2 linked regions of the Ovis aries genome follow. The protein of the gene in region 2 purifies or fractionates together with the protein of the main gene of each other region. This does not show direct contact. Links are inferred from orthologs where the notes say so. Each region holds a gene or a part of one and is shown on either strand. Other genes may lie near its edges.

What was found. The genes of interacting proteins can lie anywhere in the genome.
Region 1: the proteins of EGFR (region 2) and PFKP purify together in Homo sapiens (affinity purification with mass spectrometry; 3 studies listed by BioGRID, with this or other methods). This does not show direct contact. The link is inferred for Ovis aries from reciprocal best matches to the Homo sapiens genes EGFR and PFKP.

The regions. Positions count from the first base shown.
Region 1 is NC_056066.1:44,748,691-44,752,435, reverse strand, and holds the start of PFKP (ATP-dependent 6-phosphofructokinase, platelet type), read left to right. Parts: upstream 1-991; 5' UTR 992-1,038; coding exon 1,039-1,153; intron 1,154-1,461; exon of another isoform or gene 1,462-2,323; intron 2,324-3,745. UniProt on the Homo sapiens protein: Catalyzes the phosphorylation of D-fructose 6-phosphate to fructose 1,6-bisphosphate by ATP, the first committing step of glycolysis.
Region 2 is NC_056072.1:938,392-942,036, reverse strand, and holds part of EGFR (epidermal growth factor receptor), read left to right. Parts: intron 1-2,542; coding exon 2,543-2,669; intron 2,670-2,763; coding exon 2,764-2,837; intron 2,838-3,040; coding exon 3,041-3,131; intron 3,132-3,645. UniProt on the Homo sapiens protein: Receptor tyrosine kinase binding ligands of the EGF family and activating several signaling cascades to convert extracellular cues into appropriate cellular responses.

The DNA of each region.
Region 1 (3,745 bases), on a different chromosome or scaffold from region 2:
GCGCATCCGTCTGCACCTGCGGCAGGAACCGACAGGGACCAAGCTCCCTGTTCATCCATCACCCAGCGGACCAGACACTAGCGCATCGGTCCGGGAGTGCCCGGCGGGGCAGCGAACATCCGGCCGGCGACCCCGGACACCGCGGCTTGGGTCTTATCGCCTCGCCAGGACCTTCCTGCCCTTCCCCCGTCCCTTCCCTTCCAGCGCCCAGCCCGGCGCCAGCGGTGGCCAGAGTCCCCGCGCGTCCTCCAACGACCCCAGTCCGCCTCCTCGTCTTGCGGCCAGAGCCACTGTGGGGACGGAGCCCGCGCTTATCCTCGCCAGCAGGCGACGCCCACCGACTAGACGATCCGGAGGCGGGAGGAGAGGCTGGGGAGCCCGGGCCCCGAGAGCCACCCGGGCAGGAACCCTGTGGGAACGGGCGCGCGCCTCGGCGACGGTTCGGGCCCCACAACCGCCAGTGACCCGGTGCCCCACGTGCGGCGCCCCGCACCCCGACCCGGCCTCCTGGGCTTCCCCTGCGGGATGCTCTAGCCCACCTGCCGCGTTCCCGCGACCACGGTGACCCCGCCCACCTACAGTTCCTCCTTGCCCCCCGCACCCTCCCGTCGCCGGGACTCCCCCTCCCAGTCCGCCCACCTCGTGGCCAACACTCGGGCCGTGCTCTCCCTGCGGCCTACCAGGGATGCTCCGCCCACCTGTGGGCTGTCCCCTCCCACCTGCGGGCTGTCCCCTCCCTCCGAGGCGCTTCCGGCTCGTAAAACTCCTCCCAGCTGCGATGCACACCGCACCCCCCAACCATGTGGCTCGCCCTGGAGTGGTCCTTCCTGCCGACCAGGCTCCCCTGCCCCCGGAGCTCCCCTCAATCAGGCGCCCGCAGCCCCGCCCGCGCCCCCGCCCCCGCGTCCCCGCGCCCGCCCCAGGCCGCCCATTGGCGCGCGCCGCGCGGGCGTGGCCGGCGGTTCCCGTGGCGGCGGCGCGGGCGGGGCGCAGTGCCTACTGAGCGCCCTCCAGAGCGCGGTCTCCGGCCTGTTCACGATGGACGACCACGACAGCCCTCAGACCCCCAAGGGCTCCTTCCGAAAGTTCCTGGAGCACCTCTCCGGGGCCGGCAAGGCCATCGGCGTGCTGACCAGCGGCGGGGATGCCCAAGGTGCGCCACCGGGTCCCCGGCCCCGGGCTGGAGGCTCAGGGAGGGGACCAGTGAGAAGGGAGGTGGGGGTGCCAGGGAGAAAGGATGGGGGTGCCGGGGAGAAGGGACGCCAGAGACAGGATGAGGTGTCAGGGAGAAGGGATGGGGGGCCCGAGAGGAGCAAGGAGGAGAGGGGTACCAGGAGTAAGTGACGGTGGGGAGAAACCCGGCGCCCGGGAACCTCGGAGGTGCTTTCCCAGGGCCGGAGCCAGTGCGGCCTCGGAAGGAGTCACTGCGCGACCCGCGTGGAGAGTGCGGGGGTCCCTTACCCGGAAGGTCAGTTTTCCACCTCCACGTTTATTTCCTAAATTACGAGTGGCGACAGGGTCGCCTGGACTCCGTTCGGAGGTCCCTCCGCTTCCGCGAGGCGGGATGAAGCCGGACTCTCCTCCAAGGCTTGGCTACAGCGCGGCCACTTCTGATGCCGCTGCGGCCGCCCTGGCTCCATCCCAGACTCCCCACACCTGGCGTCGCGAGGAAGACCGCTGCGTCCCCGCGACGCGTCTGCAGCCCCACTACCCCCGCGCGGCGCGGGCGGGGTCCCCGCTGCTTTCCCGCGGCGCGCGGCGGCGAACGCACGGGATCCCTGCCCGGGTAGCCGGGCCAACCGGCACCGCCTCGCGTTTCCGCTGGGAGATTTTAAAAACGGTTTTCCGCCGGTCTCATCTCCTGTCTCCTTCCGGCTCGTCACCAAACCAAAAACCGAAGCGGGTCACTAGGCCCTCCCCGCCAGCCTCCCCTGGATGGGAAGGACCAGGAAGCGGGGACTCCGGGGTGTTGCCAGCGCCGGGAGAGCGGTCTCGGGCGCCGCCTTCCACCCGCGAGCCTGGAAGCTGGTCTCGGAGGAAATGGGGCCCCAAGGTTGGGCCCCGCGGACAACCGAAGCAGAGATGACACGACCGCGCCCCTAGCGCCGGGCGCACGTGGGGGCCCGGGGATTCCTGATCCTCGTAGATTCCCGGGTGGGGTGAGCCAACCGCTAGAAAGGAGCGGGGTGCTGCCCATGCGCTCGGAACCTGGAGGACCGCAGGCCAGAGACGCCTCCCGTGCCAGCTTCTGGCGTTTCTTTTACCCGCTTCCTCCTGTCTAGATGAGCTGAAAGGCCCCGATGCCTCGTTCTCACCTCATCTCACCACGCGCGGTGCAGGGATGCTTAAGTGGCTGGCCGGCGCCCTAGCCTCCGCCCACGCTGCTGGTGACCTTCTCTTCGCCCTTGAGAGGGGCGGGCCGGGAGGGGGGTGCTGCAGGTGGGGAGCTGTGGCCGCAGCCCCGCCTGCCCCGCGCGCGTACGTGATGCCGGGCCCGTCGCCGCCCGTGCGCCCCGCGCCCTCGACCCCGGACACCCCGCGCACGGCCGGCTGGAGGCCAGGGGACTCCGGGTCCCTGGAGAGCCCCTCCCTGTCCTGTTGAAGGTGGTGCGCGCCGCATCTGTCACCGCCCCCGCCCCACAAGCCGGCTGAGCCCGAGCAGGCTGGTCTAATTTGGTATTCTAGTAAAGTGGCCCCAGTGAAGAGAGAAAACGTGATACAGCAAAGACTGGGGGCGGGGAAATGGCAGAGTGAAACTGATGACATAGCCCACGTTACTTACCTGCTGTGCTGGATTGGGTCCCAGTCGAGTCGCTGCTGGGCTAAGAGGGGCTTCCCGGTAAATGCGCTTCAAAAAGCACCTGCGTCCCGAGACGTGGGCTACCCAAGTTAGGAAGCATCCTGAGTGACTCTTACCATGGGCTTGGAAAAAGAATAAAATGCTGGCACAGAAAAAGGAACTGGTCTCTTAATCCTCCAGCTTTCAAGGTCAGAGTTGCAAAGTCATTTAGAATTAAGGTGCTGTGTCTGTTCAAAAAAAAAAAAACGTAGGTCATTCACTTGAATCCTTTTCCATAAATTTGCTCAGCTGCCTGGTAGCTGGTGTAAAGGCAATTGAGGTGATGATGCAATAGACAGAATCAGCATTTTCTCGGCTACATACCTGCTACTTATCTCTGTCACTTGTGAGCAGTTATGAATAAGAGGTCAGTAAGTCTACACCTCTTCTCAGTGGAAAAGCATACTTTGAGAATCAGAATTATATGACAAGGTCAGACGGCTTGGTCGGTGTATGGTCAGGTTGATGGGAGTTGTCCTGATGCCCTGAACTGGCTCCTCTGGGTGGTCTCTGCTGGAGAGCCCCCAGTGGCCTGACGTTTGGGCATCTTCCTTGGGGCAGAGCTGAAACTGCTGTCTGTTTCTTCTTGGACTTCATGCCAAGTGCCACCTCCTGTTCGATCCTATCTGGGACCTGAGTGAACAGGGGCATGCATTTCTTTCTGAGAAAGCTCGCCTCGCTATGTGCACCAGGGGGCTGGTCTCTGAGGTAGCGGACTTAAGCTCCTTGAGGAGGTGATTCTTAGAGATGATGTTACTCCCCCGTGCTCTGCCGTTTTGTCTTGACTCTGTATGATATCCATGCTTGATTTTCCCTAAGATAAGAGAGGTTTGCTCGAAGCTAAAGACCAAGGAGAATAACCACAAGTCTTAATTTCAGGATAGTTTTCTACTAAGATGTGAAACA
Region 2 (3,645 bases):
TGGACATTCTGTTTCTAAAATAGCTTTCTTAGTACCCATGTGAGCTCACTGAACCCTTTTTTATTCAGTTTATGATAGTCCCTCCTCACATTATTCACTCTGATGTGGCCCATGGAGCCTTCCCAGCTGGTGCCCAGGTCCTTTGGGCACAGAAGACACATCTAGACTCTAAGCATCCCCTGGAGATCACTCCAGATAGCATCATGTGACTCTTCCTTATTCTGCTTAACCCTGTCCACAATCCCTGTCCCATGATCTATATGGTCATTCAGATTGTTTCCACTATTTTACTGCTATAAAAAAACGCCTCAGTGAACAGCTGCTTACTTGAACATCTGCTTCAGATGCCACTGCCTCTAAGAAGTTTCTGTGGTTTCAGCGGGCACTGACCACTGACCCATGTATTCTTTCAGGGGCGAACTGAGCCTCCATGCTCCATGTCATCCAGTCCCTCAGCCTCTTTAGGAGGTCTGTGCTATTACAATCCCCCTTACGGATGAGGCATTATGTCACAGAGGATCTAAATGACTTGCCCAGGGACCAATGGCCAGGATTGGCAGAGATAAGCTGGGACAGCTCACAGGGCTTCAGTCTGAGGTCAGACCTATGAGCTCCCAGTGTGGCAGGCGTGTCAGCGCCCTGGGGAATGAATATCCTTTGGCTCCAGGAAATCTTCAGGCAAAGGAAACATGCAAGGAAGAAAATGAGACATAGGGTAGTACCCGGAGAGGAAGTAAGTGAGTTCAACCGCTGAAGACAGAGGGTTGCTATCAGCATCCTCAAATGGATCAATAAAAGCAGATTATTTCTGATTTTGGTCTGTTAATTCTGTGCTTAACAAACATTTTGACTCACCTATAATCATTATGCTATATTTTCTACCCACCCACAGTTCAAATCCTGGAGTAGTGGCCAACTGAGATCCCTTTGTGTAGGGAGATGTTGGGAAACAAAGGTGGGAACATGTGTGTTGATGGTCCACAACTCCAGATCTGATAGATATAGAGGTGAATTACAGTTTGTCTCCATATTTAGGAATTAAGGTAACCCCAGCATCACCATCACGCCTAAGCAGAGAGAGACTGAATATTCTCTCAAACATGTAGAATTCTCTTCCAAACCTGTAATTAAAAGGCAAGTTCCCCTCAGCAGGGATCTGCCTCGGGGCTTGTTTTGCTGAGGCTGCCTCACTCTGTTGTCAGCCAGAGCCTTGGAATCCTAAGCAAGCCTCGCCACCCCGTTCCCAGACCCACAGCAAGGTATATGCATTCCAGAGCAAGCCTGGAGTTCCATGGGGCTGATGGGATAGGCCCCATGGCCAGGTGGCAGCCCAAGCAGTGGGAACTCCAGAGAGAACAGAGAAGAAGGAGATGGGGTAACAGGGCTACCAGGTCCCTGGTGAGGCCTGGGGAAGGGAGGGGAGGACCTCACCCTAAACAATAACCTCTTCCATGATGATTCTTCAAAGTAAGATAAAGTCTGAAAGAGAGAGACCAACAATTGCACTGTGAATTCTAGAAGCAGAGCCACACAGATAAATGGGCTTCGGAGGGAGATGACATTTAAGATGGAAACTAGGGAGTGAATGTAAATTAATAAATGAGCTCAGAGTGCAGAAAAAGGCATCTGAGATTTATGTCCCAGTAGGACAGAGATCAAAGCCTGTGGCTTCAGTAGGCCCTGTGGAAGAAAAGCAGTTTGTCTGATAAGACTTATTATAGTATTCTTTATGATGTAATATCAGTTCAGTTCATTGCAGTTCAGTCGCTCAGTCTTGTCCGACTCTCTGGGACCCCATAGACTACAGCTCACCAGGCCTCCCCCTCCATCGCCACCTCCCGGAGCCTACTCAAACTCATGTCCATCGCATCAGTGATGCCAAGCTTGTGAATGGTTTTACTGATAGGACAATATGTTACTGATAGGACAATGTTCGCAGCATAATAAGTGAAAAAAAAAAAAAATAAACTACATATGTGGTATGACATAACCATGGAGGATAACTAGAAGGAAATTTTCTAAAATATCAAAGTTACACAATAGAATTTCTAGTCATTTTTTCCTCTTTGTTCCGTGTTTTCAAGGTTTTCTTCCGTGGATGCATCTTGCTCTTTTAGTTAAAAAATTTATGCATACTGTTTCTTTCCATTAGAAATCTAAGCTGCAGCCCAGATGAGGGCAAGGGAAGGCATTGAGGGTTTAGTGGGGGTGATCGCCGTGCAGTACCAACAGCCCGGGGGCAGCTGTAGTGTAGAAGGAAGCTGGAGTCCTCCGGGGCAACTGGACTCTGGCCAGGTGGGGAAAATTGAGGAGGAGAAGGCAAGTTCAGTGAGGACAGGCAGCGCCTCCTGTACTGCAACCTCACACCCTGCTATGGCCCCTGGTCCCTGGCGAGCCTGCCAGTGTTTGCTGCGTGGATGAACGATAGCACGGCGGCGACGGTTCCCACGGCCGCACTTCTCTTCCTGCTCCCGTCTGCCTGAGGGACCACAGCTATTACTAATTCAATACATGTGAGTGGAATAAACACCTCTCTTTACAGTTTGTAACGGAATAGGAATCGGTGAGTTTAAAGACACACTTTCCATAAATGCTACAAACATTAAACACTTCCGAAACTGCACATCCATCAGTGGAGATCTTCATATCCTGCCAGTAGCATTTAGGGGGTAAGTAAAGATCCAGTTACTGGTATACCAGAGAAAAATAGACTCTGCTCTTTTCACGGCAGGTTGTTACTGACGGCTCTGTTACTTGTTTCAGGGACTCCTTCACACGTACTGCACCTCTGGACCCGAAAGAACTGGACATTCTAAAAACTGTAAAAGAAATAACAGGTGTGTACCATTAAGTGTGTTAGCTGCTCAGTCGTGTCTGACTCTTTGTGACCCCATGGACTGTAGCCTCCAGGGTCCTCCGTCCATGGGATTTTCCAGGCAAGAATACTGGAGTGGGGTGCCATTTCCTTCTCCAAATAATGTCTCATACAAAATAGAAATTTATAAGTGGTATGTGTCTGAACTTTCCTTGTGCTTTGTAGGGTTTTTGCTGATTCAGGCCTGGCCCGAAAACAGGACTGACCTCCATGCGTTTGAGAACCTGGAAATCATACGTGGCAGAACGAAGCAACAGTAAGTGGACCCCAGCCAAAGCCTTGTAGAGTCTTTTCTCTTGAAGTAAAAGCTACTGAAGTGCTGCAGAGACACTACAGAGAGTCCCCCCACACCCTCACCTGGCTGCCCCGACGGTGACACCCTGCATCGTCAGCGTGGCTGTAACTGAACTGCAGGCTTTCTCGGATCTCGCCAGTTTTCCATGAACACTTCTCGTGTTCTGGTCAGCCCACACTGCAAGGGACAGTCATGTCTCCTTGGTCCCCTGCTGTTCCTGATAGTTCCTCTGTCTTCCTTATCTTTCATGGCTTTTGAAAAGTCCTGGTCAGGCATTTGTAGGATGGCCAGTGTTTTCTCCTGATTTGGTTGAGGTTTTGTACTTTGGGCAAGAATAGCACTAAGGCCACCAGTCCTCATCAGCACCTCATTTTCAGGGGACCTGAGAAGCACTGAGCATGCCTTTCAAGATTTCCACTTTTCCAGCTCCAGCACACATGCACACACACACACACACATGTGCACACACACACAT